Linked DNA regions of Xenopus tropicalis. The protein of the gene in region 1 purifies or fractionates together with the protein of each later gene. This does not show direct contact. Links are inferred from orthologs where the notes say so. Each region holds a gene or a part of one and is shown in the gene's direction. Other genes may lie near its edges.

Region 1 (16,478 bases):
TTAGTAGTACAAGTGACCTGGCCAAAGATTTTATAAGGCGGCTGCTAGTCAAGGACCCAAAGTAAGTGTTTTGTTTTTTTTTTCTTAAATCTTTCTTGACATGAATAACTAAGCCCATATTATAGGACAGGAATGGGACCAGTTATCCAGATAAGGGATCTTTCTGTAATTTGGACCTTTATATCTTAAACCAATTAAGATTTTTTAGCCTTGAATAAGGATTAATTATATCTTAGTTAGGATTAAATACAAGATACTGTTTTATTGTTACTGAGAAAAAGGAAATTATTTTTAAAAATGTGAATTATATTATTATGGAGCCCATGGCAGATGGGCCTTCCTGCAATTCAAAGCTTTTTAGATAACAGGTTTCCAGATAACGGATCCCATACCTGTATTTCTTTTGCTATTACTATAGTGATATTATATTTGCCTACACGTATATTTGGATATACGGCAAGTATCCTATAATGACAGCTCTGTATACTTGGTCAAATTCACTTTATTTTCTAAAATTTGCACCACTTTGATATTTCTGTTAAAATAGTGTGAAAATCTGCTCATTTAAACGTAGATTATATACTTTTTATAATCCTATTTACCTTCTAAACACAATAAATAAAGCACTATTGCAGTGGTGCTATTTGTTTTAAGTCAATAATTCTTTCCATGAAATGTAATGCTTCTTGCCTGCTGTGCATTTGCTTTTATTATTTATTATATTTTTTTCTCATAAAGCATTAATGTTCTTTAAGCAATTTATAAATGGGTACAAATGCTGGAAGCACAATATGTCCCTGTGTTCATCTGATAGGAGAAGGGCAGGATGTATAACTATTATAGTTAGTTAGTTAGTTTAGTGTGTTGTGCTAAAAAGAATATTAAACTTAGTGGAAATGGGCTCATTAAACATGTTTGGCTAGATTTTGCCGCTGGGGGCCCATAGGACATGCCATTTTTTGTGGCCGACAGGTTGCACATTTGCTCCAAACATTTTTGTATGGCATCTTCATTTAATATTACCCAACCTGCATATATATTTTATTGGCTAATCAGCCACATAAGTTCCAATAACTTCACCAGCAGTAAGTTTTTACTCAGTATTGTTACTATACAAAATAGAAATTGCATCGGATGATATGAGCAGTAGAACAAATCACTATAAAACAATAGGCAATGTGCATTATATTGGTAGTTAATATTTTTATCACTGATATGGTAAATAAACTGCAAATACCTTTCTAAGCATTTTGTACCTGCCTCTATTGATCTCCTGCACTGAACTCTAAACTTAATTAAAAAGTAGCTTTTGGCAGAGAGCACAGAAAGTTAACAAGTGACACCTGCACTTAGATACAGTTGTATAAGATAAATAGGTCTCTTGGGGGAACTGAGATTGCAGCTTAATGGGAAATTTCACCTTTTTTAGCAAAACTGTAATAACACATAAAACAAGACCCCAAAACCCCCAGAAATGTGTTCAAACTTTAAATAACCTGCCAAATTTTGTAAAATGGGAGTGGTATTTAAGTGTTGTGGTCACAAAGATGGGCGTGGTCAAAAAATGTTTGTCATGCGCATATTTTTTTGTCCCTCTTTGCATTTTTCAAATGTTGGTAGGTATGCAGTGATCTAGAACTGGCACTTGAAAGCAGGACAGTCTGCAGTGTTGCTTCAGATCCAGGGAACACTGTTTGTAAGGTATTTGCAGTGGTTGAACTCTGTGGAGATATTTTAGCATTTAAATCTCTTGCAGCCACTTGCAATGGCTGGAAAATAATTGTGTCATTTCCTTTGCCTTGCTCAGTGTTTTTTTCTGAGTTGCTCTGCTAATGAACCCTGCTAATGCTCAGTATTGTAAACATTGGGTTTCAGATAGGATCTGTTCTGAATGCATTGTTCTAAATATAGTTAGAATCTTAGCTGTAATCTGGGACAGAACTGCTTGAGAGAAAGGAAGAAACCTTAACCCTTTGTTTATTTTGTCTATATATATATATATATATATATATATATATATATATATATATATATATATATATAATATATAATATATATATATATATATATATATATATATATATATATATATATATTCAAATGTTCTCTATAAAAACATTACCGTGTCCAGACCTGGTAAAGATGCGGGTGCCAAAGGGACTAAAATCATGTGCCATAGGTTTAAAGGGAACAAATGAGACCTAAATAATAATTTGTACACCTGTTAGTGTTGTGCTGTTTGCACTGACTTCCTGTGTAACACTTAGGAAACAATGACAGTATTGTATATAGATAATAATAAATGAAACCAGTAATACACCCAATAATTAACTCAATGTTTTCATTTTCCTAAAAAGAAAAAGGATGACCATTCAAGACAGTTTGTACCACCCTTGGATTAAGGTACAGTTCTTATGTATTTTATTTGTTTAAAATAATGTGCATTTTTAGTTCTGTGGAAATCAGTGCAGTATATAGCCCAATCCAGGTTCTGTATTAAAAATACCCTCTGCTGGCTGCTACTGGCCTGTAGCTCCAGTACAGTATTAATATTTTTCTGCATGCGGTGAACTGGATTTTTTTATTTTGATAAATATTATTGATTTTTATAAAAATGGTTTTAGAGGAACATGACATTTTATATAGTGAAGTGCAAGACTAAACAGTGGGCCTGAACTAACCAAAATCTATAAAATCTACAGTGCATAAATGTAGTATTATTTTCAGTTAAAGCACAGTGACACCCCTGGTATGTGTACTTTGCCTCTCACTTTTCCACTATAAGCATTAGTGCTACCTCTGGGGTTTTTCACATCTTCTATGGTGAAATATTGAATTATTTATGCCAATTTGGCCCTCAAAGGCCCCTGGGTCTGTTTATGGACACAGAACAAACCCTCCCTGTTTCTTAATATATAACAAAACAGAATGATGCAAGCTTGTCCCAGGCTGGCTTGTCAGTTTCTTCCCAAATCTTAAAAACTTTACGTAAAGGTAAAATTATATAGCTGGTGGACTAATACTTAGTTTAGTCTAGTAATGTGGCCCTACTCTGTTATGTTAATGGAGAATGACCTACTCTTCTTCCTGAAGATCGTAGGGTGATTTGCTTTCTCCAAAAGAAAGTATATGTCCAAGTTAGTTATTTCTTTCTCATTTTGTCTTATTGCCATTTATCATCTGTTTATAGGTTTATAGTTTCATTTTATGATGTTTGTTATTAAAAGAGCCGCATTTCTCTTTTTACTCTGTGATGTAAAAGAGACCAGCATAAGGATATATGGCACTGCATAATGCACTTTTGTTAATTTTATATACTGGTATATATATTATTGTGGCTTCTTTTAAATTGCAGTGTAACTGTATTTACTCTATGGTCTGTTGCATTATTGCACCATTTTCTTCGCCAGTACGTAGGCAGTTCATAAAAAATCCACATCTTTAAAAGCTGTGTATCTAATCATGAAGGGATTTTCCAGGTGGATTTTATATTAACAAACTGGAAAATCCCTGACACTTATTTTGTTTACCTGGGCCCCTGAAGCTCCATATTAAATCATAGCTCATGGCAATAACTGCCCTAGATTCCTTTCCCAGTTGCCCCATTTGTGAACTGAGCAGTGAGAAAATAAAATTCATAAATTGCAAACCTTTCATTCCATTTAAAGTCCTCCACTGTGGTAGAGGTCTTGCTGCTTTCCTTGCAAGTATTTACAATAGTACCCACAGAATGGTATTATTTCCCTTATGAATGCAGCTTTTTTTTGTTTTGTTTTTTTTGCACCTTTGCAAAACACCCACCCCCGAGTTAATTTCTTCTAATTGTCTGTGAACTTGTTTCAGCCAAAAGATACTCAGCAAGCGCTGAGCAGGAAAGCCTCTGCAGTCAATATGGAGAAGTTTAAGAAGTTTGCTGCTCGCAGAAAATGGAAAGTAAGTGTATTCTTCGAAGTGCTCCGTAGGTAGAATGCCCATTGTTGTGAGAGTTGCTTTTATTGCAATACACAGTGGAAACAGCAGGCACCAGAAAAACATAGTTTGCTTCTGCTTTTATTTTATACAATATGATTTATTGTTTATAAATTATTTTGTATAATGTATATTTATATATAGAATACAAAGAATAACACTGCATCTGTGCACGCAACGGTAATTTAAACATAAAAGAAAAACATTAGGCTAATGTCCCATAGGGAGATTAATTGCCAGAAATAAATCTCTGCTGCAGCTGGCAACTGATCCCTCCAAAATGCCTTTTCACCAGCAACAAAGTGAATCGCCATTGGAAAGACATACGCGTAATTTCGTTCTTCCAAAGTCGTGCAAAGTTTCTTCCGGCAGGCAACTTCAGAAAATGAAGCAATGCATATGCCTTTCCATCTGTGATTCACTTTGCTGCTTGTGGAAAGGCATTTCAGAGAGACTAGTTGCCCGCGGTAGAAATTTATCACGAGTAACTTAACTCTTTGTGGGGCATTAGCCTTAACCTAAAGCTGGCCATACACGCACCGATAATATCGTACGAAACCTCGTTTCGTACGATATTCGGTGCGTGTATGGCAAGTCGACCGATATCACAGGAAGCTGCTGATATCGGTCGACTTGCCGATCGGGCCGGTTAAAGGATTTTGATCGGGCGCCATAGAAGGTGCCTGAACAAAATCTGCCTTCAGCGCTGAATTGGCAGAAGGAGGTAGAAATCCTGTTGTTTCTACCTCCTTATCTGCCGTTTCAGCCCTGAACAGTTTGTGGCTGATTGTACCATCTTTTGTGTGACCGATGGTCGCACTAAAGATTGCAAATCGCCACGTGTGTGGCCACCTTTAGATGGAACACTCTACAAACCACTATCTTTTTTTCCCTCTCAGTTAGTTACATAAAACAGTACAGGGGTGATCACTTTAAATATAGCATCTAGCTACCTAAAACCATTATTGTGGAATATAATAAAAGCCATTCTATTAAAGAATTAGCCAAATGCAAACACTTTTACCTTTGTGCAAACAGCTCTTACAGCTTGTGCATATTAGCATTTATTTCAAGGTATTGCAAAACTGCAAAGGTACTTAGCCACTTATTTGCCACTTGAGATCTAAGATTGTACATTTCATTGTTGTTTATATTGGATTGGTAATGTAGACATTTGCAACAAATAGCATAGAAATACTGGGGGTTGTATAAAAAGGCAAGGAAACCTAAAGCTCAATACTGACTTTTTTTCAGTGGCTAGGAAAACTATATATAATGCATTCGGTTTTTTCTGCTTTCCTTCCAAACAGACTGATAATGATTCCAGTAAATGTCCCTTTATTATATATATAAAGACCACTTTACAACAGCCTCACTTTAATGATGTTCCCTCCCTGCTCACTTATACACCCTAGGTATGGAGCATGCACAGTGTTCCACACCACAGGACTAAACATGCTTATTGTATTAAGCGCATAACAAAATATGTAACTTCATAAAAATTATGTGCTTTATTACATTCCCTGTTGGTCCCTTTGTGAACATAATTTTTGCTATTATGCCCATCTTTTACAGCAGGTATGACCTGGGATAAAAAACAGGCCCTGGCATTTCAAGTACACAGAGGCCCACGCTTTCCCACACCAGCCCACAAAATAGTGACTTTCTATGACATTTTACAGCAGCCCAGCAGCATTTACCAGAATCGACAGATTGCCAGTCTGGGCCTGAATCACAGCCAGAGAATGCATAGATCTATAGTGTTCTTGGTGATTGACATCTTGGCTACATCACTTCTAGAACTTCAGTCTCTACATTTTCTGGTTGGAATTCAGGGGCAGAACTATTATTTTTATACAGTGGTTCAGGAGGGCACCATGAGGAGGCGATAAAATGCAGAAAGTATGTTCCATTTCCTTGTTCTTTAGATCACAATCATAATAAAAATTATGAATGGAAATATGCAGTTTGCAGTGTTTATTTATTATTGTTATTATTTATTATTATTTATTATTGTTTAATACACAACTATCTCATTTTGACTTTAACAGCACACATTACATATTCTCTAGGGCTTGCAACTTTTTTCAAGTGAGAAGTTTTATTACATGCACCAGGCATTGGTACAAAGTGGGATTTTGCAAAGCTTGTATATTGCAAAAAGCAAATTATGTTTTCCTTGAATCTTTACCTATATATCAGGGAGTTTCTTTTTTTTTCGCCTGTTTTGTTAAAAACAGAAATAGCCATTTCTTTTGGGAAAAAAGCATTGAAGCTTTTCTTATTTGTGTTTTGTAATTGATGAGAAATGACTAGCAAAATCTATTCTGTTTTTTTTTTTTTTTTTAAAGCAATCTGTCCGTTTGATATCCCTGTGCCAAAGACTGTCAAGATCCTTCTTGTCCAGGAGCAACATGAGTATTGCTAGGAGTGATGACACACTGGTAAGTTAATAACAGCTTAGGTTCCACTGTTTGCCTACAGATTCTGCGCATTTTATAAATAACAAACTTCCTGGCTTGCTCTCTACTAAACCTGTAGGACATAAATCATATAAGGAAATAATAGCAGGGCTTTATTCAGTTAGAAAGCACCTGTTCTGCAACAGTAACACATAATAAAGCCATTATCCTTTGTAAAGGGTTGCCTTGACATTTATGGGCATTGAGTTTAGCAGAGCAAAGAGACAAATATGCAAATATGCAACCAGCAAGTTTTTAAGCAGTGTTAGCATTTATGCTGAATCCTCTTCAGTTGATCCATCTATGTAGTCTCAAATGAATTCTGCTTTAAGATGTTGATATCATTCATCTCTAGGAATTCCATTATAGGTATAAAGAAAGAAATAAGCCTGCTGCTTAGCAATACAGGAAGTGTTTCATAATTTGTTTGTATGTCACTTTAAATGCATAGAAGCATCATTTTTTTCCTTTAACTTAATTATTTTACTTAAGTGGTAGTTTGTGGTTAACTTATTATGTTAAAAAAATGTTCTGTGTTTGAGGTTAATGATGAGTTAATATGCGGCTTGATGTTTTCATACAGGTAACTTCTTATAGCAGTGTGTTATGCAGCTCTCTAGCTGTCACTGGTAGCTGGAAGTTGTAGTCGTACAGTTGGGTCAGTGCTAAATGGGCAGAATTTTATACATGTTCTACCTCAGTTTCCTATAGTTGCACAGTAATTATGGCATCACTTTATTTATATTATTTGGTGTAGCATATAAAATATACCTTGCCAGATGGCTCTTTAGGTTGCTATACATGTTTTTTCTGTAAAAAAAATGCACCAATTATACAGCAAAACAACCCTTTTTTGCTAATTGTAATGTGGGTAATGCATAGAAATGAGCAACTACTTTAAACAAAGAAGGTGCCATGAATTTACCCGGAAAGACTGTAATTAAACACACTTCGTTATTTGACCGCTTCCCTTCTGACATAAATAGCATTTTCCATGTTGCAGTACAAAGCTTCTTTGACACTGATTACATGCTGTCAAGTGCATGTAATCTCCTTCTGCAGACAGAACACAGACAATACAGAACCATGCTGGGACTGGAGAATGTTATGCCATCTGACATGTGGTCTGGCCCATAAACTGCCTCTAAGCACTGACAGGCATGAGGTTGTGGCATGGATAATGTTCTACTAAGCACTGCAGGACAGAAGCAAAATAGCAGAATGTGTGTGTTTGGCATTTATAGAGTCCTGTTTTCTCCAAGGCCGTGCACTTATATGCAGGGTTCTATGGGTATTTATTTTTATGCAAATATATAGAAGATCATTCCTAATGTGGCTGCACAAAGCAGGGAAGAGTCAGAACTTTGAAGTTTGCTAATTAAAATAGACACCTCTCTTTAATGTATATGGAATGTATTATTTTTATATGTTGTATACAGTTAGTTTCTGCCTAATTGTGGGAGGAAAAAGGAGTACCGAGATAAAACTCACTCTATGAGAACATGCAAACTCCACAAACCTAGCACCATTATCTTGATGAAACCCCACATCCAATAGCAGAAAGGCAGCAAAAAGAACCAATGTGGATGTATTAACCTTTGAATGCTGAGATACTCTGCATACTTCACATGCAAGGTTCAAGCCATTTCCGGAGAAGGTAATCACACCTTGAATGTGCTGTTGCAGTAATGGACTAGAGTGTGGCATGTGTTAAATTTACAAAGAAGAATAAATATAATTTTGAGCATCTGGCATCTGGCTCAATTTCTGGTTGGCAGGAAAATGAGCCTTTTTAAGTTGCCCGCAGATGGAGTGTGAGGAGATCAGTGTTATAGCCTTTCCATTATGAATAACAGGTAACAGCTTGCACGTGCTATGTTTTAATGCTTATTAGAAAGGAAAGCTAAATGCAAGGGGTTCCTTGATATCTGCAGTCGTCCTAAAACTTCAAGACACATACAAACCAATGGAATATTGTTTTAGGAACAACTGAAAACTGAAAATCTCACACCTTTTATAGCAGTAGCTGTCATACATTTTCGGTTTAAGTCCCCGATCCCCTTTGTTCAGGAGGCCCCGTAGCTCATAAATAGGTTACTAGGAAAGCACTGCAGTATTAGCACTTCAGTCATAGTTCCAATAATATCTGTGGCATCTGATAAGAGTTCACACCAAGGGCCACATTTACTAATCCACGAACGCGCCGAGCGTATTTTCCGAAACTTTTCCGTACCTTGCGCGACTTTTTCGTACTTTGCGAAAGTTTCGGATTCATTCAAGCTTCGTTATCGTGACTTTCCTTGGGCCAGGTTGGAGCTGCAGAGTGCCATTGATTCCTATGGGAGGCTTCCAAAATCGTGCACAGAAGGATCAAAGTCGGAAAGGTTTTCCCGCTGTTTGCAATCGTTCGGTACGAAAATTTCGGATCGCCGATACGATATTATTGTGACTATTACGTTTTTTTCGTAAGCATTTTCGTGATATTTGCAATCTTAAGAAATTATCATATCCAATCTGAATTTTTCCCATTCGGGATTCAAACTTGTGATTTCATGAATGTGCCCCCTAATCTCAGTCCTTACTGAACTTTTATTAGCTGGGATTTGAGGTGTATCTTGTAGCAAACACCATTACCCTAATTGGCCTGTGCTAAAAATCCTCAATTTCAAGTTATGTTTCGGAAACTCGAATGTCTCATATTTATTAAGTGCAAAAAACTCAAATGGAAAAAATAGCCATCTAAAAGATTGCGAGTTTCTATAGTAGTCAATGGGAATTTCATTCTAGGCAGAGTCAAGCCATATTTTCAAACTCGACTTTTTTGAGTTTGTAAACTCGAAAAATTCTAATTATTTGCGTTTTTTATTCAAATGAGTTTTCCTTATTAATAAATAAGCGAGCATTCGATATGCAAGTTTATTTGATTTTGAAAGACAAACTCGAAAATTGATAAATAAGCCCATAAAATTCTAGTGCACAAGAATAAGAGATTTATTTTATATGGTTTAAAAAGACAGTCTAACAAAATACTTTTTAACAACCCCAATATTTCCAACAATAGTTTCTTACATTGGTTTTACTTTGTTCAGAGTATAGGCAGCCCTTCACTAGTGTCTGGATTTGTGACAGTAACTGATAAGGTGCATTGTTTTCCAATTTGTCTACTACACTTGTACCTGTAATCAGCCCTTCCTCCCATATCTGTACTACAAGCACATAAAGATGGGTGCACGTTGGTCACACACCGCAAATAAAACGACAAAGACACATGAACAATATTTACAAAAAAAGAGCAAACAGAAGACTAGTGTAGAAGAATGAAGTAGTCAAAATAAAAAATGTGTTCAAACTGGAACCTATTCAAAATGTGGCCAAGTGAATTTAAGCTCGGCATTCAGTAATACAAACATGCATTTAGCTTCAGGTTAAACTGTTAAACTTTTGTGTGTTTCTAATTATTTCTTGAAAAATTTCAAAGCATAGAAACCAGAACCTAAACCGCAGCTGTGCGTCAGGCTAGCTGTTCCCACAACACTAAAAAGCAACGTCATTGTATTAAGCTTAAGTGACCAGAACAAACTGCTTTCTTTGGCTGCTTCCTTGCTGTCCCTATATAGCCTCATCTCATAGAGAAGACAGCTGAATTGTCTGGGGTGCTTCTGAATGACTTCCAGGATATGATCAGACTGACAGGAATAAAAAAAAAAAAGCACAATGGAACATTCTGACATTTGCTAAACAAAAAGGGTTACACTTGTGAAAGCAGGTGATGAAAAAATGACAGGTTTCATGAATTGATAGCTCTATAAACTCTTGGTTGAGAGGGTTTGAACATATATCTCCCAAGCACTACCACAGAGTAAATATCCTCCAACAGCATTCCTTTTAGTGAAAATGGTAGGTCATGCCTTGACACAAGTTACCTGTACCAATATGTTTTTATAAGTTCCACAAAATATACCTACAGGCTTTGTTTCTTGGAAAGTAACTGCTATTATAATGTGCCTTTTTTGTTGGTTGCAGGATGAGGAGGACTCTTTTGTAATGAAAGCCATCATTCATGCCATAAATGACGATAACGTTCCTGGTTTGCAGCATCTTTTTGGGTCTTTGTCAAACTATGATGTGAACCAGCCAAACAAGGTAATGCTGCATATGGAGCTGTAATTAGAAATGCACCGGTATGAAATATGACCAGTCCAGCTAAGTGTGGGTTAATATTGCATGCACAATTACTTCCTGTTTCTATCGCCCCTTGGTATTTGTAACACAGCAGTCAGTAACTCCTTCGTGGGTTTTATTGTCTCATTCTTTCAACTGTATTGCCCTGACACATTGAGAATCCCTCTGCGCAGCAGATCATTAACACAAGCTTGGGTTTTCCCATCTGTGCTGCTCTCAGCGGCTGACTTGCCATTTTTCACCGTACGACTCGGACAAAGAAGTGATGTGTTGGCATCCCTCACTTTCTTCCGAGCCTCAAAACTGAACAGCACGTTATTCATTTCACATAATTAATCCAGCAAGAAGCATAATAAATCACAAGTTACAAAGGTGGTGTGCAGGATTTTCTTTTCATCGTAGAGAGTTTAATTAAAATATATATCGATGATGTCATAAGCCTTTCAGTTTGGCATAAAAGCAGAGCAACAAATTTAATCAATTAACAGCTATGGATGTCAGAAACATGCAGTTCCACTTACTAGAGCAGCAGAGGTTATTCAAGCATAAATATCCCTATAGGAAAAGTCCAATATATGGAAAAAGCTTCCATATTGTGACAGGACCCAAGATATTAAGAAGCAGAGGAGACATTAGATTTCCAGGACAAATTATTTTAGTGAAAAGGAAATAATTGTAAATTCTGGATATAGGAAGTTCTCTGGTAGATTTTCTCTACTGTTTAATAGGAAATGTTTGCATAGTGGAGTATAGTTAGTATACTATACTCCCTTACAGGGAGCAATTCACTAATGTTCTGATTTTTTTATTTTTTTTTTTGAGATTGTAAAGTTGCAGAAAAAAAAGTCACAGCTTTTTAAAGATTTACTATGAGTCATATGGCTAAAAATCCAAGTCCAACAATTAAGCAGCAAAAACTTGCAGAGATCAGGTAGAATTCATTGGCAGGCATCCCTTTCCTTTCCTGATGGATCTTTCTTTGCTTTGAAACTTTAGAGGTTTTTGGATTTTTGATCCTGGTTTTTTGTGCAGCAGTACGAAAAAGTAGAGGTTTTGGCGCAACAGTTCGAAAACGTCATAGTCTGCAACTTTTTGCCGCACTGACTTTTTCAGTTCAGACATTTTAGTAAATGTCAGACATTCAAAGGAAATGAGTTTATTCAAATTTTAATATAAAAAAAAAAAAAAAACGAGAAAAGTTAGTTTTAGTAAATCTGCCCGACAGTGTGCTGTTCATCAGAAACACTACAATATAAGCAGAATATTCTTACTCTTTCTTGTTAATGAAAGGAGAATGGGAGATGATAATGAAGCCATTCATTCTGTGTATCCTTTTTATTATGTCTGTATTTTTCAGCATGGCACCCCTCCCTTGTTAATTGCTGCTGGCTGTGGGAATATTCAGATCCTTGAACTGCTCATAAAGCGTGGCGCACAGATTGATGTACAAGATAAGGTGTGTATTACCCTCTGAGTAATATTTGGGTAGAATACCATCAGCTGTTGAATAGGTTCACTTTTATGAACCAGCCAGAGACAAAGAGAAACATAAAAGTTATAACAGCTTATGTAAAAAGATTCTTTTATATGATGTAATATATCCTGTTGTTAATTGTCACTCTTTGTGTGTAGGCTGGGTCCAATGCAATTTACTGGGCTTCTCGTCATGGTCACGTTGAGACTCTGAAATTTCTACATCAGAATAACTGTCCTTTAGATATTAAAGATAAGGTAAGGTTTTGTATAGAAGGAGGGCTGCAGGGGCTATAGGTGGATAGAAGGGGTTGGATTACAAAACTAACACCTAGGTAACCCTCCCCCTCAGCTCTACCACTGGATTTAGCAGCAAGTATTCAGCTCTAGTTGGTTGTTTTTGGAGGGGTTTTTTTTTTTTTCTTCATCATATAGATACCCAAGGGCCATCCCACCTAAAGCTGCCACCCTAGTCATGGGCCTTGTGATGCCTTTATGATAATATGGCATCATGTGGCCCGTGGGCCTGTAGTTTACCACTTTTCCCTGTGTCTAATTCATGTGGACAATAGGGCAACTGTGCAGACTGACTACACTGGCGAATAACTACATGCAGTGCATGTAGCTTATCATATCTAGCATTCCCATACCATCTACAGTTTTATAACCCCAGGACTGGTAACTACTATGCCATTTTTGTAAGAATTAAATCTTTATTAACAAATCTAGTTTCTATTCTTTTTCAAGGAATTTGTGTTTAAGAGGGAGCTAGAGATATGGTTTCATTCTGTAAAATGTATTTGAATACCCAAATACTAGGTAAATATACCATCTGAAATGATAAACATGCAGTCAGTATGTTGCCCTATTTGTGGGCTGGTAATATCTAATAAATGCAGGTAATATGTGAAATACTTAGTTGCAGTTTCTAGATTTTCTCTGTGGGCACATAATTCACACAGATTTAGTTTTGCCCTACTTTTAGTGCCTTAAAGTCTATTGGGCATACCAGTTTAATGATTTACAGCAGTGCTGTCCAACTTATTACATTTTGTGGGCCAATTTTAGCTCATACGGCATGTTGGAGGGCCAGATTAAAAATAGTGATATCATATTGTGAAGTCTGTGGAGTCATATTGTGAAGACGGGGGGCCATAAAATCCTTTAGGGGGACACATCTGGTCCACAGACCATTAGTTGGACAGCCCTGATTTACAGTATGGTTCCTTTGTGCGTAAGTAACACCTATGTGCTTCTAGTCAGGAGAAACAGCACTTCACGTGGCGGCCCGTTATGGACATGCTGAAGTTATTCAATACTTGTGCAGCATTGGATCACATCCAGACATCCAGGATAAGGTATGGTGTATTGATTTGTGCTTTCTTGCTGGTTCTAAAAGCTGCTATAAAGAACATCCTATTTAGTCAAAAAGGGGGGACCTTTCTGCCAGTACTTCTGTACATTAAAAAAAATAGGTGCAGAATGTTTGTGATCAGTTGCCCCTATGATAGTAAGACTTTCAAGACCTGATTAGCTAGGTAGCAATAAAAACAGATTCAAACGCAACCTAGCAATGAGACAGTTAATCAGGGTTGCCTCTGTCTGCAATATAAGTGAAATATTGCAGGGTTCTGCAGATGGCACAGTGATTACTAAACTGGAAAGGAATTTGGAATCCCAAAAGGAATCACATGTTCCACAGATTTAGAGTACTATACATTTAAAATTCTGCTCAACATTTGGATCTAGATGACTTCTAAAAAATACTAATTACAAGAACAGTTGTGCTCTTATAAAGAATTATTGGTTTGCAGGAGGAAGAAACCCCTCTGCATTGTGCTGCTTGGCATGGTTACTACCCAGTGGCAAAAGCTCTGTGCCAGGCTGGCTGCAATGTCAACATTCGCAACAGGGAAGGGGAAACACCCATTCTGACAGCAGCAGCAAGAGGGTACCACGATATTGTGGAATGCTTGGTTGACCATGGAGGCGACCTTGATGCAACAGACAAGGTGAGCAATGGATGAATGACTCATGGCATTAGAAATGACAGACACCCTTTATGTTATTGAAATCTCTCTGCCTCCTTAAACACTGTAGCCAGTAACCTGTTATCCTTCATTGTTACTTTGCTGATATTAGTGAGATGTGAATAAAGTGCCAGCATGATTTTATCTAAATAAATAGAGGCAGAAGGAAATAATTTTACTTGCCTGTCTATCTGTCATTTACGTTATCAAAAGACTTTTATAGTCAGGAATGCTGTTAAAGGCTTCCCAGATATAGTTCCCCTATAAGAATGAATGTTGCATAAAGCTGATTGGCTTCCTCTGCCCTTGCAGGATGGGCACATAGCACTCCACCTTGCAGTGAGACGGTGTCAGATGGAAGTAGTGAAAACGCTCATCATCCATGGATGCTTTGTAGACTTCCAGGATCGCCATGGTAACACACCTCTGCATGTTGCCTGCAAAGATGGGAATCTTCCTATTGTAATGGCACTGTGTGAGGCAAGATGTAATTTGGATATAACTAACAAGGTGAGTGACAGATAATGGCACATATAAAAGGAAATATGTAATAGAATGAATGGCTGCATGAAGACAAAAGAAAATTATCTTTAAATGCGAAGAAAATTATTATTGATAATTTTCATGATGTTTTTGAACGGTCATGCTGATAACGCACTCTAAGGTGCTTATTAATCCCATCATCTATGTGCTAAATACAGCAGAGACGGAGTTATGGAGCTTAGTCTGTGCTCTGCATGTTAAATAACATTTTTCATTTCCAGAATGTAGGTAACTTAATTTTAGCTACAGTGTATGTGTCAAACTGGATTTGTGTTTTTATGGTTCCAAATATTAGTTGTAGGGACGTTAAACATTGTAGGAGTCATTTATGATTGCTTCATGTGCCAAAATTGCACCCCTTAATGCTCATGCACAAAACACTTTTATCTGGGGCAGTCGCACCGCTTTAAACATTGCACCATGTAAAAAATCCAGCACAAGTGGCTGAGTGGAGCCCTGTTGGCTGCTAGAAAGCCCTGTGCAGCAGTTTTCTTACAGCCTGTATCTTCTGGCAAATCCCAAACATTTTGGGACTTCTGGCATTATGTAATAAAACAACTAAGTTTACAGTTACAGTAATTTATAGTAGCCAATCAGTACATAGCATTTACTGTTCACTTGTGCAAAAGCAATCTTATTGGTTTCTATGGATAACTGCTACCCTAGGCAAACTTAGGGGCTATTTATTATGCTGCATAAAACAAAATGTACTGAAAAAAATGTTGTAAATAGCTGTGTTAAATAAATGGTGCATTTATCAAGGTATGTTTTATTTTACAACATTGGAACACCAGATTTGACGCAAAGACTGGCGATAACATGGTAATTTTGTTGCCTTTTTTACACCGGATAATAAATCTGCCCCTTGTGTTTTATGACATATGGGGGCTTGGCTTTTCCACAGTTCTTATTAAAAATGGCAGATGGGTTAGTGAACAGTTTTTTTCATGTCACAGACTGCCATGCTAAACCCACTTTGTGCTTATTATGCTGATATTACTTATCAGAATGACATATTAATTATTTTCATTTTAATTGGTTATTCCTCTCTCCAGCTGAATTTATACTGAGTGGGTATCAGTCACAGTTGCTCATATAGCCACAGAGAATTATAAAACTAATGAGCTGGTCTGATGGGGTTATTTCCCCTAAATGCCCTTCACAGGCAAGTGTCATTTTGCAGGCCCACCAATTACAGAAGGCCTGCCTTTAAACCAATTTATTTTACATATTACATCAATATGATGAGGCCAGACACAGATTGCTGTAAACACAGACCAGTGACAATGCTTAGGCTTCTCAGTAGACTAAAGGACAAAGGAACCGGTGTCCACACATTAGGGACATAGCAGAATGACAACAGCTCATGACCAGGTGGTAAGAGTGATTCTAAATGAGCGTGTAATAATTGGGTTTTAAATTATTATATTGATACCATAGAATAAAAACAGAGAAGTTCTAATTCTGTTTAACAGGTATACTCTTTGCGCTACGGTCACACATGAAACGCATCCTTTGCACATGTACTAATAAATAACTGTTAACTTTCCCAAGGTTGCACTTGTAACAGAACATCTTTGTTTTAAAGTTTCATTTCCCCAGTAAAATATCCTAAGTGTCCCAGCACCTGGATTTCTGCTAGGCTGGTTTTCCCTGCTGCTTTTATTGGAACAGCAGGTGTCTGAGGTTTACAACTAAGACCAAGCACTATCGCCACAATCTCCTTCCTGTTCACTATTTATATGGAAACCAGCCTCATAAACTCTCTCTCCATTTTTCTTTACACATACCTACAATTTCAGTGCTGCCACAATAAAAA
Region 2 (16,530 bases), about 31 Mb from region 1:
CAAGGAGCTATAATAGAAAATCTCTTATATGGGAATGCTTCAACGGTATTATCCATAATTACTAACATGCCTATGTTCTGCATTTGTATCATTTAGTTAAGAATTTACATATGAGCTGTTTTATGCAATACATTTTTATAGAGACCAATATTGTTTGTGGGTATAGTTTTCCTTTAATGAACCATGCAGCCAAGGTTCACAAACTGCCAATTAAGTAGTATGGGTTACAGTACTAGTGCAAAATTTCCCCCTGTTTGGTAATAACTCTGAGCAACATTTACTTAAGTGATGCAGTTACCTACTGCATACATTCAAACATTTTCTTTGTTTAATTCTAACAGTAAAACAGTCAGAGTTAACTGCCGATTGGTTGCAGGGATTAAGGCAATGGCAATTGCTGATTGGCTGCTGGGATAAGGCAGTGGCAAATTGGCTCCATGTTTTCAACACATTCACAAGTCCTTCTATGAGTCTACCTCTTTTAACTGCTCTTCTGCTCTACCCGCCTTGATATTTTTAACAAAACCACTATGTGCCACAATTGTGGCTAAAGACCCTTAAAAACTGCACAATCAAATATTAATGAAACACCGCTTGAGCTGTTATTTGGTGCTGTGGCATTTGCCGTTTTCTTTTTCAGACCTTGAATTGAAGGCTATTGCTGTATATTCATTGCCAGCATTAAGTACTTTTTCTTACATAACATAAATATTTTTATTATTTTACCAGGTGGAAAAACAATGCTTGGAATTCTACTCTAATCGTGATTTGAAGAAGTCTTCTGAACCAGCTATTCAGATAGATTTATTCTATGAAAGTCTCTGTGGAGGTTGTAGAGGTTTCCTTGTCCGGCAACTTTTTCCATCGTGGCTGATGCTCGCTGAAATAATCAATGTGACATTAGTTCCTTATGGGAATGCACAGGTAGGCTTTGATAGGTTATTTTAACATGAATGGGGCAACAATCCCATTTATTGCTAAACAACAAAGCAAGAGTGATTAAAAGATCTAAAACAAAAAAGGCAGCAATTTATGAGGACATGTGGGGTTTAAAAAAAAGCCTGGGAAGAAAGACTTACCATTTAAAGCGGACCTGTCACCTTAAAAAATAATTTCAAATTGTTTTCTATTGTGTTTGTCAAGCAAAATAAACTTTACTTACACTATTTAAATTATTTTAATCTTATTTTCTTCAGCCTTGGAATTCACAATTGCAGCAAGCAGGCAGGGGCCATTTTGTGGACACTGTTATCAAAGCAGGCATTGCATCCTGCCAAAATCTTGTTTCTGTGCCAGTATGGGGGGGGGGCTGATGCCCATGTCCATGCACTGGTTACACAATTACATGGTGCGAAAGGAGGGGGAATGTGAGGAGTGCAGTAACATCTAAGAAGTTCTGAATTGAAAGTGAAAGTAACAGTCTGCCCCACCTCTATGCCTAAGGCATAGAGGCGGGGCAGGCAGTATATGATTGACAGCTGGGATTTTAAAATGCTTTTATAATGGGTATGGATGTGGTAATAAAAAAAATGATTTTGGGTTTCATATTTAATTTGAAAAGGGCTTTTATTATACAGCTTTTTATGTCTGGGTGACAGGTCCACTTTAATATATCTGAGGTCGAACAAATTTCAGCTTATACATAATTTGAACATTTTTATTTAATAGGAAACAAACATCACTGGTAAATGGGTTTTTGATTGCCAACATGGACCTGAGGAATGTCTGGGAAACATGATGGAGGTTTGAGACCATTCTTACATTTATTTGTGTGATGTGTAATGGATATGTGTGTAATTTGCTGTTGGTTATAAATACAGTTTGAAAGCTAATATATGTCTATAAAGATATCAGAATGGCCGAAAAGAACCACACACCATATAGATAATACTCTATTTATTACCCCACAATTCATATAAAATTAATTTGGATCACACATAAAATTAATTTGGATCACATCCTTAAGATCAATATTTCAACACCAAAGATTTCATTAACGATTTTAACTAATTCACCTATAGGGTGAATTCATACATTTTCAGTTCTTAGTTTTATTTCCTCCTTTCACTTCCTCTATCTGTAAAAATATCCACAAGACTATGGAGAGTGAAAATGTCAGATTACTTTGAATAAAAATAAAACTTCTTCATACACATAATAAATCACCATCACCCAAGTGACTTATATGACATACAGTTCTGATATAATGCCAATAAAAGAGATAGGAGAGAGGTAATCCACAGTCACTAGGACAGCTGAAACATAACACTGAAAAAGGACACCTTTTTACCTATCACAAACTTTGCTCTTAGAAGGGTGAGGGGAATGCCCCATACTATACACTCGCCTAACATAACACAGGCTATAGAGACTTCCACCTCAATAGGATTGTTTCAACTCTGCCAGTGACTGTGGATTACCTCTCTCTTTTATTGGCATTATATCAGAACTGTATGCCATATAAGTCACTTGTAGGGGGTAATTTGATGTTTTCACTCTCCATAGTCTTGTGGATAGTTTTATAGATGAAGATGTGGGGTTCTTTTCAGCCATTCTGATATCTTTGTAATTTTGTTATCCCCCAAAGGACCTGTGGGGATTGGTGGCTGTTTATCACCCTTAGCTATAACAACTCAAGTTATTATATGTCTGTGTTCAATGTTAAAAGGGAGCATAAAGGTAGAGCTCATGGAAGGGAAAGAGTGGTGTGCTGGCATTTCATGGTAAGACTAGGATGCTGTACCAGATCCACTTGGACCTGCCACCAGGTCCGAACTGGAGATTTAAAACAGGCCCTAGTATTTAAAGTACATAGAGGGCCAAACAGCCCCCCACAGGACCAATAGTAAGTGTGTATGGCATCTTACAACAGCCCCTCTGACATTTGCCAGAATGTACAGTTTTGTCAGTCTGGGCCTGCAGCCACCCCTCTACCTGCTACCTACCTGATCCCAACCTAAACTGCATGCTGTAGGTACCCAACTCTTTTTAGAACTGCAAAAACTCCAACAATCTAACAATTTTTTATTGATGCACAGGCCTGTCTTATCCATATTCTTGATGATATATACAAATATTTTCCAATCATTTTTTGCATGGAGTCTTCCAACAACATCACAAAATCTTTGGAATCCGTAAGTATTAAATGCATTTACTAAGACATTTGGCATAATGCAAACAGTTTATATGTGCTTTGCGTCTGAAACATTAGGTGTTATTCATAGCTATCTAAGAAGTGTGCAAAGTGCAAAAAATGGGTGCAATGCTCTGTGATTCACTGTTTTCCCACCTTGCAGAATCTCTGTAGGACCTGCATCTGCATGAAGAATATCATTGCTATCATTATAAGAGGGGGAGGCACATAAGTGCTTGTTAGATGAGCACAAAGGGAATCCTTATTGCACCCCTTAGTGCTTTTTGAAAAACATTATAAATGCCTTCAGGGCATACTTAATAATTGTTGCATGATTTATAAGAAAACAGTGATAGGGAAGGTAGTAAATGAAATTGGCAGAACTGTTGCTATTATAAAATCCACAAAGTTGTAATTTGTTTTTTATTTACAAATTGTTTTTGTGCTTTTGCCCTCTGCTAGCTCAGCCATGCTGTTTGTCAGTAATGAATTGAAAATTTCCTTTCCTTTTTTAAATCAGTCAGTTACAATAGGTCAATTTAATTATTACATAAATAATGTAAATGTAATTATTTACATTTTATAATGTACTTTATTTTTATAAATATTATTACATGATAAAATATAATACAGCTCACCATAATACAAAATTAGTGAGAGATCTCAGCTTGTTTCACTGCAATTAAATGGGCCAAGGTTCAGCACAGACAGACCGGTTCAGCACAGCCCTTGGCCCTGCACGGCCCCGTGGTTGGGAACTCCTGGATTAAGGAACTTACATGATAAACAACTGTGAAGAAGAAAAATAGTAAATTATATATGAAAGATTATTAAATATCCACTAGAGTTTTTTTTAATTTTGTCATAGTTGGGGTGCTTAAAAATTAATTTATCTATTAATCTATGCAGTCTATTCAGGTATTATGTATATTTTTAGTGCTACAAATGAAAGTGAAGTGAAGGATAAACAAACATGCACAATATTCAGTGCAACCTTGCAAACTAATGTACACATGAAGTGTGAGGTACATGATTTTTAATAATTTTATATTTTTATTACATAATATATAATAATTAAATATATATATATATATATATATTAATAAAACAATAATATAATCTATTTATACACTGAAAAATACTGGACTGTATCCTCTGTTGAGATTTTCAACCAATGACGGCATATCCTAGACTAGATACTAAAACCTGCTTGATCTGGAGTGGCTAGCCTTCCCCACGTTCCAAGGTTATTTCAGTGAAGCACTATAAAACTATATACATTGTAGGTCTACACAAAGAAAATTATTTATATGTGTATTCTGATTAGAAGAGACCAGTAATTCCCTGGAAGCAGATATCCAGTTTGTTAAACTGCATGCATTTTAATTTAATTTTAATTTCCTCTTCTTGCAGTGCCTTGCAGTTTATGCACCTGAGTTACCACTTAAAACTGTATTGGAGTGTGTAAATGGGGATTTGGGGAACAAGCTTATGCACGAAAATGCTCAAAAAACCAAAGGACTCAGTCCTCCTCACAATTATGTGCCCTGGATTGTCATTGATGGGGTAAGTGATAACTTCCATACATAATCGAGGTGGCTGTGCTGTTAAGATATGCATATATTTTTTTAAAATACTGTACAGGTTTCTTGCTTTTCCACAAGTCATATACTGACATTGATACTTTATTTCTAGATTAAAATGGACATATTTGGACGTAATAGTCAAGTTGTCAATTATTTTGTTGTAAGCACAGTGAATTTTGTTAAGAAAAATTATTGCTGGCAGTTGAAACCATGTGTGGAGCCCGCTCATTATTAACACGCCTAACCAAGCATTTTGGAATATAATGAGTGAACTGGTCACAACTGTCCATTTGCTATTTATTCTGGTAATTATATAGCTTTTGTTCTCCAGCAGAGGAGATCCACACCATCAAACAGAAGCACAGCACTCCCTTTATATACTCACATTTCAGGTTAGACAGAGTTCAGACTAGCAGCAACAATAATGTTTCGGAATCATCCACTCCTTTTTTCAAGCCGTAAATAATATATCATTTCTCCCACAGTTTTTCCTGCATTGTGCAACAGCATACAAGGAAGTGTGTCACAAAAAAACCTGTTTGTGCTTACCTATCCGTGTTTCCATATCACATCATATACCAAATAGATTTGGAAGAGCAAATGAAAGCTATAAATTGTACCTTTGCCGATGATAATGTTGTAGTGCCCTGATCACATAAAAAGGACTGTACATTATACATCCTGTCGGTGATGGCACAGTACATGTCGGTTCATTAAAAGAAGCATGTCCAATTTGTTTTTTGAGCAACTTTTAAGAAACTGGTGTTATAAGAAACTGAACTAGGAAATCCTAGCAGTTTAATAATTTTCCCCACTTGGTTTTTAAAGGGGTTGTTCACCTTCAAAATAACTTTTAGTGTGATGTAGTGAGTGCTATGCTGAGACAATTTACAATTGGTCTTAAGCACTCGCAGAAACGCTGAACTGACTTCCTGTCAAAAGATTTGTTGTGTCTGTTTTCCTCTGCCAGAGACAGATAGCTCTCTCCTCTCTCCCCTCTCCCCTCTCCTGCTTCCCCCTCCCTCAAGAATGCTAAGAACTCACTTCCCCCCCTTAGGAATGTGGATCTGAGCCAATCAGCAGGAAGCTTCCGCAAAATCTTACAAACTGAGCATGTACATCGGTCTGGGTCTCTGTGCAGAAGTGAGGCATTATGGGAACTTTCTTTAAACAGCTCAGTGTTTTTTCTTCCTGTTTGGCTTCTGAACAGGTGAAATATGGAGAGACTTAAGGGCACTATTGAGAGAACTGAAGGTATGCCTGCAGCTTGAGAGCAACTCTTTATTAGACTTTCCTTCTCCTTTAAGCAATCGGGCAGTAGTTTGAAAGAGAGACCAGAATATGAATAGAGGAAGGGCTAAATAGAAGGAAAAGTAACAATAAAATTGCAGCCTTGCTTGGCTGCTGGGGTCACTGCCCAAGTTGTTAAGAATAGGCCTAACACACTAAAGGTAAACCTGAAGGTGGAATCAATACATTCACCAAAGTTGGTAAAGATATCTGTTACTCAGATTGTGTTCAGGTGCTTTGAGCAGTTTTTATGGGGTGTTAGGGCTCAGCAGCAGCAATGAGCACTAAAATCTGTCTGCACCATTAATCTGTTATGCAATGAAAATGCAGAGAGAAAAGACTGACAATTCAGTCCCTCTCCTATTCATATTTCAGTCTCATTTAAACCATTGCCTGGTTGCTAAGGTGAACAAGACCCTAGCAACCAGATAGCTGCTAAAATTCCAAACTGGAGAGCTGCTGGACAAAAAACTAAATAACCGAAAAATGAAAATCATTTGCAAATTGTCTCAGAATATCCATGTCTACATCATACTAAAAACTAATTTAAAGGTGAACAATTCCTTAAATAATGCTTTGGGATTTTCCACTCTGGAAAATATATAATTAAATACAAAAGTATAGGTAATGATTTACCAAGTCTTAGCTAACTACTGATAAATTGGTCACTGTGTGTAATGTATTTGTAATATTCTGTTTTGTTCAAATAATTTCTGAAAGAAGTATCGTGCATTTCAGTTAAAGTTGGCAATGGCAGTTATTTACATTATGTGAATCCATTCAAACATTTCTTTGTAGATAGAAGAAAAGTTTTATGCGGGGACAGCTAGCACAGGGGCTTCCCTGACTGAAAAAATACATTTTGCTATGGCCTTTTATGATGATAATATTGGTGGTGTTATGAACTCAAAATATATTTACTGTAATGTAATGGGCTGATGAATCACACATGTTGGATCTTGAGAAGTCTTTTCTGTCCCCATACACACCAAAACACTTCCTGATTGGTGCTGGCAATAAATCACATAAGTGGCCCCTACACAAAATTACACATTTCTTGAGATAAGCTCTTTATTTTTTTTTAAATTGCTTTATCCCTCCACTGGGCTCTCTCCATTCCATCCAATCCCAGTAATTGCTGCAGATGATCATGTAGGCAGCATGTCCTGTAAGCAACTGCTACTTTCAACCATTCAAAGGGCTGGGAATTTGGAATTATACTGGTGGTAAGGCTCAAGCACAAATATGTGATCATAAATTAATAATAGTTTTTTCCTTATTAGATGCACACTGATGATCTTCAAGCACAAGCTCAAAGTTCTCTCTTTAACCTTGTTTGTGACACATACAAAGTAAGTAAATACCATTATTCTGAGCTAGCACTTTAAGTTGTGAAGGCTTCTAAACATTTCTTTTCCTTTCCTTAACAGGGACCAAAGCCAGAACCCTGCTTGCACAGTGAAATAACACCATTAAAAAGGGATGTTCTCTGCCTAAACTGAATTACTCCTGAATTGCTCCTACAGAAAACTATTCCAACACCAGGGCAAATGTACTTTTCAGACTAACCGTGTGTTTTTGTTTTCCCTTTTTTCTTTTTCTTTTCCCAATTCCTTATGTACTTTCAACAGTATAACTATATTTTGGGTTTGCACCTTGCATTTCACTAGAGGCCTTTCTTCATACAGGGTTGCAGGGTGAGACCTTTTAATGGTGTATGTTCCCTGACATGACAATGCCCAAACTGTGACTGAATGGCTACGTACTACTAATTCACATCTGCTTAAATGTGTTTTAGTGTAATGGAATACCTAGTTGACATTGTTGTGGTTTGACCTGTACACATTATGGGCAGACTTGGGTGCTTTCTGCTGATACTATTTGGGTACCAGCTGTTTTTATCTAGACCTATCCCCAGTTTCATCAACCACAAACACCTGCACAGTATGCCACAACCCCAGTGCCAACTTCTTGTAATTTATTTCCAACACTACAGATTTATGCAAGATAAAGAAAGTTGTGTTAGCAATTAGGAAAACAAATTGATCTACCTCAGTCTTTCCTGAAGGCGGAGACGACTTGATCAGTTTTGTAGGCTTTACACAAACAAACTAACTGGGAAATTATTGAGGCCAAAGTGTCTAAAGCATAGAAAATAAACTTTCCAAGTTCACTGCTTTTCAGTGACCGGAAGAGGCGGTATCCATAACTAGTCAACAGTAAAATTAGGCTGCAGCCTTCTTAGAAGCTGTCACTCTAGATAACCAATGGGAGAAAATCAGGTTATTGAAAAGTAAAGAAACATTCATCATATTTATAGATTTTTCTAATTACACATGGTTTTCAGTGAAAGGAAAATGGAGAAATGAAATTAAGATGCATTTAAATTCTTTACTGCTTACCGTATGGTTACTCATTAATAATAGGTGTATTAAAGGAATAGTAAATCTAAGTTTCAGTCTGTTTTTTTTTTTGTTTTTTTTTTTAAATAAACCATAAAACAGCACCTTTTTACACCCCATCTGGTAAAAAAAAATTTTGGTTTGTTGTTTGGTGCACCCCAATAGAACTGAGCCTTAATTTTAATAATCATGAATGATAAAATTAAATTACTTGTAAGCAGAATTTACATTTATGAAATCTAGGTGGCTGACAACTAAAATAATGTTGGATTGTACAAATATTACAGAAGGACTTATAAGCTTTGCTCGTTTGGCCAGATCACCAAACAAGCGCATCTTTGCTCGTTTGGCCAGATCACCAAACGAGCGCATCTTTGCTCGATATGCAAAGAGCAAAACGATTGAATTTAACAATGGAGATATGAGCTGTCGGAGCAAGGGCCGAATCAATGAGCCAATGCAATTTCCAATCCAAATAAAAAATCAAACCTGCCTGATTGACACCTAGCCAGTTTTTGGTCTGGTATCGGTAGGGCAGATAAGCTACCAAATCGGTGTAAAGGACTAGAATCTGCAGCTCAGCCATACCACTACTAACACCACCCATCTTTCCACAACTGTTCCACTCATCAAAGGTGTGTGCTTCTAATCCCTCCTTACTGCACTCTTATTTTGTTTGGCAATCATGGCTTCTAAGTCCCCCCTTTCACTATCGACACTACATTTTGTGGTACCCGCCCTCTGTGTGGGATTGCCATTTAATCTGCTATGCAATTTTGCCACCCACCACCATCTTGCTTTAAAGCCTGCTCTTACCCCTATTATTTACCCACACTACCATTATTCATGCTTCTCAGTTCCCTCAGTCCCTCACATTTTGTCCATCCGCTGTCATTTTTATCAACTCTCCACAATTATGTCTGTTTGCCAACCTTTCTCCTAGCCTCAGCATTTATTCACTAACTCTTCTGGGCATGGGGCCCCAAAAGGTTATTTGAGGGTTGGCCTACTGTATGCTTGCAGCTGCAAGTAACTCAACGAGCATGCAACAACAGAGGGTGATTTGCGCTGCTCTAACCCCCCTTTGGGCGGGGGAGAACAAAGGCCCACAAATACTGTGCTGCTGGTTTTCATAGAGATAAGAGCACTGCACATGATCTCTAATGATATATAAGGCACACAGAAATTTCTACATCAGTTACTGTGAAGCAGAAAACAAAGGCGCATGCATTTGGGGCACCCCCCCCCCCACTTTCCTCAGTACTAGTGCTCTAATTCACATGTTTCAGTAGGTTTTCAACCTATGACCATTATTACTAGAGGCTTAATCATATGAGCCTGTTTTTGTATCCTGCAGCTGCTATTATTTATGCAGTGTTTTCATTCTAGCACTCCTCAGTGGGCACTTTGACAACCAAGGTCTTTGACAGTGGCATTACTATAGAGGAGAGGTGGTCTTGGGTGACCCCTGATTTTGCATAGAAACTCTATTTATGTTTGATTTAAATCCTGGGGATGGTCTCCCTCTTTACATAACTGCCTACATGTGCATTTATTAATTTCGTCCAAAAATGTGGCTCTCTTTCTGTTGCTTGATAGCCTAGTACTTGGTTGGGTGGTTGCCTTATGTAAGCAAGGTCTGCAATGGGATGAGATGCCAACATGACAACTTTTATTCTTGAAGTGCTTACCAGAGAGTGTAGTGTATTCAATGTATTTCCAATCAGTTTAAATAGAGTACCTTTATTAAAGCACACGCAGCAATGTGGACACAAGCAGCAATGTTTCAAGCCATATAGGCTTTTTATTAGTGATGAGCAAATCTGACCCACTTCCCTTCACTGACAAATTTGTAAAACAGCAATATTTTGCAAAACACATTGAAGTCAACTGACCACTTTTTTTTCTGCAGCCATTGGAGGCTACAGGGTTTTTTTCACAGCAAAACCTGGCAAAAAATGTTGCTTATCGTTACTCTTAATCGAGTTTAAAAGTCAAGCATGTAAATATTTTAATCAAGAGTGACACCTACTGGTTCCAAACATACATTTTTCCCATGATTTCAACATTTATTTCTACAATTAGTAATACTTATCTCCAGGGCCAGAAGTCGTGGTAGTCAAGGTGCCTAGGGTGCCTTGAGGGGGGTGCAATTTGGGGGGGAAAGCAAATTTCCTACTGCTTACTCTGCAGTGAGAGATGGGAAAATTGTCACAAGTGGTTGGGGGGGATTCTGCACCTCTGGCTACCCTGAAGCAGGCTTTCTGATACCATTCCCGATGCCTGCCATTTGGAACTTTCGGCATGGGTCGTGGGGGTTGTGCAATTGTGCTCTCTGAACTAGAAGAGCCAAAATTCTTATTTTAGATGAGAGCTCTCTTTCCCAAAATAGCACATATTTGTGCTTAGGGTATGCCCTAGAGTTCCTGAGAGTAAATATTTTATATTAGAACCCATATAGGGAGCCCAGTTATACAGTATTTTGAAAAGGGTTAATAATTTGGGTGAAGCTAGCTTTGTAAAAGTGTTCTTGATAAAATGGGAGATTTGGATATATTCATAATTCCAGCTTTGAGGAACATATTTTTTTGGAGTTCAGTAAAGGTGTGTTGATTATTAGTTCATGGGTTGACAAAATCATACATTCGAAAAAGGTTTTTTGGAGACAAGCCTGGGGGATTTGGGGATCATCTAGAACTGACCGTAATATACAGGAGGGGAATATCAAGGGTGTATTGGGCCACCTGTTCCTGGTCAAAGTATGTGGCTTGTCTCCACTTTCATAGTACTTCCATCTGAGTCAACATCAGGCTTTTTCATTGTCTTCCCAAAGCGTTTTATGGTCTCTGTGAAATAGTGACCTATAAATGTATGCCGCAAGGTTAAATGAGGCCATCCACAGCCTACCTGGGAAGCGTCCAGGAGGCTTCTGGAGCATTCAGACATAGGTGGAGAACTAGAATCAGTAGTCACAAAGCACCCAAGTCACCGGGATAAACCATGTATAAAGTCATGGGTTCAGATGCATAATAAAGGCAATACTGGTCATAGGGATTCATGTTTGTGAGGTTGGAGATAAAGTTGTTTTGGACGGTGAGCCTCCGAGATGTCTACGTATCTTAATGTCTAGAATCGCTGGTCAATGGATCTTGTGTGTGATTTGATGGTGGAATCCCAAGGTCTTTGAGAAATTGAAGGCTGTCGTCTAGATACGGAAGTATGTACTGCTTGTTTCCTTTTGTAGCAATTAGTTTGAAGGGGAAACCCCATCGGTATGCTGTATAGTGAAAGTGTAATGTCTTGGTAACAGGTCACTCCTCTTTTTCAGTGTGATAGGAGAGATATTATTAAATATCTGAAGTTTATGGCCTTGGTGTTCAATGTGGGGGGTATTGCAAGTTTTATTAGAAATACACTTCTTGCTTTTATAGTAATGTAGACACACCACAACATCTCTAAGTTTAGCAGAGCCAGGTATCAGAGGTGCAAGTGCTCTAGATGCATGATCAAACCGCCAGGCCTCAGATGAGAGATCTGGATTGATGGTAGAGAAAAGAGAGTACAAAAATAGTCTCATATTATGGGGGGCAACTTCCTCTGGTTTGCCCTTAATTCTTTTTCGTTTTGGTACTATGACCTATTCTCCATTTCCTCTGGATAAGTCATGAGACATGCTACTTCCTCCTGTAGGCTAAAATTACTGTCTTCCAGTATATTATGCCTCAAGATACGATCATCTAATGGAGTCTCTAATTTATAAGTTCATTCTCCCATTGCATTGATGATGGCGCTTATATATTTAAGGGCTGTGCAGATAGAATCAGTCATATTCTCTGTTAGCTTGTCATGTACTGTACTGATAGGCTGATGGCCCACAGAGAGCGTTAGTCACCTGCAATAATTAGTCACCGGCAAAAAAAACACTCCGAAATGACTTTCTACCAGCAACAATACCAATCACTGGTGAAAAGGCCTACGCATTGCTTTGGCTTTCTGAAGTTGCACAAAGTTGCCTGCAGGATCTGCTAAAGAGGGGTGATAAACTTCCTCCTGAGACATGCAGTTCCACCATATGAACCTAGATGCATGAGAGAAAGAGGCCTGTGAGCTAGATTGGCTCTCCGCTTTAGATTTATTGGTGCCATCTTGGATTCCCTGTTGTGAGGCGGCAGGAGAGAGAGAAACAGAGAGAGAGAGAAACAGAGATATTGCGACTACTATATTCTTGTGCTTCCCCATGGATGTTCCATGGATGTAATTACACTCAGTACACTAGATGAAGCAAATGACGGGGGTAAATGTCTGTATAAGTGCGTCTGCTGTACTCCATGCTGTGCATGCACTGCACTATTCTCTTAAACCTATATAGCTGTGATTGTGACATAGCTTTTCTATGTCTGTATCTGTATTGCATTAAAAGTATCATAATAAAGTATAGTATTTCTGTCTCCTTAATGTACAAATTTATATTCAGGGGACTGTGAGGGTCATTTTCAAACCTTCAGCTTGCTTTTCTTTCAGTAGCTCATGGTGGATATTAATGTATGTTTCATGTTGGCATCTCTGCTTTTCTGATATCCACCATGTGTGCCTACATCCAGACCAACATGATGGTTGCAGTGCAGGCAAGGCTGATGCCAACATAGAGACTGATTCTCGGCCCATATTTTTCTGCAGGCTGAGAATCAGCCCAATGTAGCATCAGGCTTAGAGAGATGTAGTGAGCAGGCTGCTTATCTTTTGGAAATGCTCCCCCTGCCAAAGCACAACAGGTCAGAGAATCTTTTTTTTTTTTTTTTTCAGGCAGGTTTGGGTAGAATTAGCCTTCCAAAGTCCTAATAAAAATCTACCCATGAAAACAGGGTTTCTGCCTGGCTGTTATTTCGCTGGCCTTGAAGGTAAAATACCAGCCATGGCTGAGGCTGGTATTACAAATTTACTGGCTATGAATTTTCTGATAAATTTGCAATTGTTTGTCATTCTGTCCACCCCCAACCCCTGCCTTTAAGTTGTCCCTCTCAACTTCTGCCCCATTATCTGTCAGCCCAACTCACCACATTTCTGCTTCATTGCGCCCAATCCATCTGGCACCACCCTGTAATTTTTCCTCCCCTTTTGCATTATAACCCTGCCCTCACTCTCCTACCCTTCACGCCAAAACAACTGCCAAGTATTTTACTGTAGAAAACTCTTAAAATATATATATATATATATATTTTTTTTTAATCTATAACTGTGTGTGTTAGTAATGAAGGCCAAGTTTGTTATTTCTGACAAGTTCTGTGCTAACGCCTTGTGACAACTGACGGTGCAGAACTTGGGGTAGACAGTCACGTCAATCTTGGGGTATCCTGCTCGATTTTCCACATTGGAAAAACCGGGCAGGCAGTTTTGACCCAGACAGCCCTATAATAAACTGGGCTGTCCAGACAGGTGGCGACCGTAGATGCATGGAATACTGGAATCAGTTTGGGATTCAGAATTACAGCCTTTTTCTTCAGGATTTGGATTTCATCAAATCCCAGGGCCTGACCTGGGGTATCCAGACCCTTAAAACCATGTGACTTTGAATAGAACCAGATAACACCTACAGAGCTGTCAACTCCCCCTATTACATTGGGATTTAGCTGTTTTTACCTCCCCCTGTTCTCCAATCACCAAACTGAATTCCCCCAGGTTTTTACAGGTTCTGCACTGATTCAGCAGGAGCGATTGCGCATGACCAATGAGTGTGACAGCCCTGCGCCTAGCATTTTGGAAAAATAGTTGTAGTTCAGTGACAGCTGGAGGCTCACATGTTGACACAGTATGCTACAAATTCTGATACTCCATGCTGTACTGTAAAATCTGATCAGTTTCTTGTTTTAATGTAGCACCATTCCTCACACATTATATTCCACTAAAAAACAATCAGATGTCATAAGACTTTATCTTGTCCTAAGAAAAGGCAACATGCAGCATTTGGGGAAAGCTGCTCCTCCACTAACTATCATACGCAGAAAGATTCTGAGCCAGTTTGACAGCTTGAAGCTGAGAGCAGAAAGAAATGGGGCGGGACTTTGACTGCTATTGCTGAGTTCCCCTGTCACTCACAGTTATTACAACTTCCTGTGGACGAAAGAAAGGACATGCTCGGCTCAGCCCTTGTTTCAGCCTGAGTACAGAGGATATGTCTGCTGCTCTGATGCAATTACAGTTTTAAAAAGGTAAAATGTGATTTCAACAATCTGTTTTCCCAGTCACTATACTTGTAAAGGAAGGGGACATATTGGGATTAGGGTAATACAGTATTTCTCTTAAAGAAGTCATGCTTTTCCCCATACATGTGACAGCAGCAACCAGCAAATCATGCGCTGTGTCATGTGTTGTTTGTCTGAGAAAGGGTAATCATAGGGGAAATGTTATTTTGGGTAACAACATAATGTATCTGCAAATGATGTAACTGCAAATGATCACAGTATGTACATGTATGTAGTTCCTGCAGAATGGATATATATATATATATATATATATATATATGTATGGGACCTGTTATCCAGCATGCTTGGGACCTGGGGTTTTCCTGATAATGGATCTTTCTGTAATTTGGATCTCCAAAGCGTCCAAAGTCTGCTAAAAATCATTCAAATATTGAATAAACCCAATAGGCTTGTTTTGCCTCCAATAAGGATTAATTATATCTTAGTTGGGATCAAGTACAAGGTACTGTTTTATTATTAGAGAGAAAAAATAAATAATTTTTAAAAATTAGAATTATTTGCTTATAATGGAGTCTATGGGAGATGGTCTTTCGGAACTATCTATATAACAGGTTTCCGGATAAGGGATCCCATACCTGTATATATAATATGCTTGTGGCATACGGTCTTCTCTGTATTAAAAAGACAGCAGTGTTCAGCCTGAAACAACCTTTGGCAGTTTAGGGTGTTTTGTCACACGCTGTGTGAAGGCAAAGTACTTTTATGTGATAATATCCTTATTTTTTTTTACCATAAGAATATGTTTTAAAGCTTGCTGGAAGGGGTACAAGTTAGGGAAGTGGAGTGGGTCACCATGCTATACAGTGAAAATGTAGTAGACCAGTGGCCTATGTGTTGTAACTTATTGGTTGGTCTGTTGAAAGTGGATAGATACCAAGATCAACACAAATCTGGTCATTCAGCATCACAATGTAGCACGAAAAGATAATTTTCCCACACAAGACCTAAAGAAAATTAGAGAAACCAATGCTGATAGCCATAGCAGGAAGGGTAGGCACAAAGCACAGGTATGAACAGACTTCTGTTTCAGAGGTGCCAGTACATAGACAGTATTGATGGCAGATTGCATCATGCCTAATCTGTCTGGAGTAATCAAGCTTTAATTGTCCCATGTATGACCACCTTAACAGATATAAGTATACAGTACATTTCATTGTTTATTTAAAGCTTTTATGTGTTCAATGTGTTCAAATGTAGAATTAAAAGTCAAGTAAAGCCCATAATGAATATAGCTTATATTTTAGCCTTTTAGTGTAAAACTGTTGTGCCACTTTTCATGGAAAAGCCCTGTGCCTGTAAGGGTAATGCCACAATAATAATAGAGATTAATATTAGTGGTACATAAGTTAAAGGACATGTTCACCCAAAAAATAACTTTTGCCTAGTAAAATAAATTATAACTCTAAGCAACTTTGCAATGTAATGGTTTTTAAGTTATTTTTAAATTGTTGCTATTAAGAGCAGTGTTTGTCAGTCCTTCTCTGTTCTTTGCCCTGGTGTGCTTTCTTTTGATACAATGTAACACAAGCCAGTAGACTGACAGACCTGTCTTGCTGCAGTAGACTGGCTTTTGCAACATTGTTTAAGAAGTCATAACCAGAAGTTAAGCAAATTCTGCTTTTAAAGCACTAAAATTTTGTAATATATTCATATTGGAAAGTTGCTTAGAATTATGTTTTCTCTTATTAGGCAAACATTTTTTGGGGGGTTGACATGTCCATTTAAAGGAAGAGTAAACATGATATTTTCTAAAGTGTGTTTAACACCCTTGACTTTATTTCTTTATCTAGGGTAACTCTGAAACTTGCTGTCCTAAATCCATGTGTAGCTGCTGCCAGCTGCTGTTGAAGTTAGAACCA

The links.
Region 2: the proteins of dapk1 (region 1) and ifi30 purify together in Homo sapiens (affinity purification with mass spectrometry; 3 studies listed by BioGRID and IntAct, counting the BioPlex papers as one, with this or other methods). This does not show direct contact. The link is inferred for Xenopus tropicalis from reciprocal best matches to the Homo sapiens genes DAPK1 and IFI30.

Annotation. Positions count from the first base shown.
Region 1 is NC_030677.2:135,327,541-135,344,018, forward strand, and holds part of dapk1 (death-associated protein kinase 1), read left to right. Parts: coding exon 1-61; intron 62-2,357; coding exon 2,358-2,403; intron 2,404-3,843; coding exon 3,844-3,933; intron 3,934-6,320; coding exon 6,321-6,413; intron 6,414-10,454; coding exon 10,455-10,574; intron 10,575-11,970; coding exon 11,971-12,069; intron 12,070-12,245; coding exon 12,246-12,344; intron 12,345-13,345; coding exon 13,346-13,444; intron 13,445-13,900; coding exon 13,901-14,098; intron 14,099-14,428; coding exon 14,429-14,626; intron 14,627-16,478. UniProt on the Homo sapiens protein: Calcium/calmodulin-dependent serine/threonine kinase involved in multiple cellular signaling pathways that trigger cell survival, apoptosis, and autophagy.
Region 2 is NC_030677.2:103,916,055-103,932,584, reverse strand, and holds the end of ifi30 (gamma-interferon-inducible lysosomal thiol reductase), read left to right. Parts: intron 1-729; coding exon 730-924; intron 925-1,668; coding exon 1,669-1,743; intron 1,744-3,038; coding exon 3,039-3,134; intron 3,135-4,546; coding exon 4,547-4,699; intron 4,700-7,292; coding exon 7,293-7,361; intron 7,362-7,439; coding exon 7,440-7,511; 3' UTR 7,512-8,461; downstream 8,462-16,530. UniProt on the Homo sapiens protein: Lysosomal thiol reductase that can reduce protein disulfide bonds. May facilitate the complete unfolding of proteins destined for lysosomal degradation. Plays an important role in antigen processing.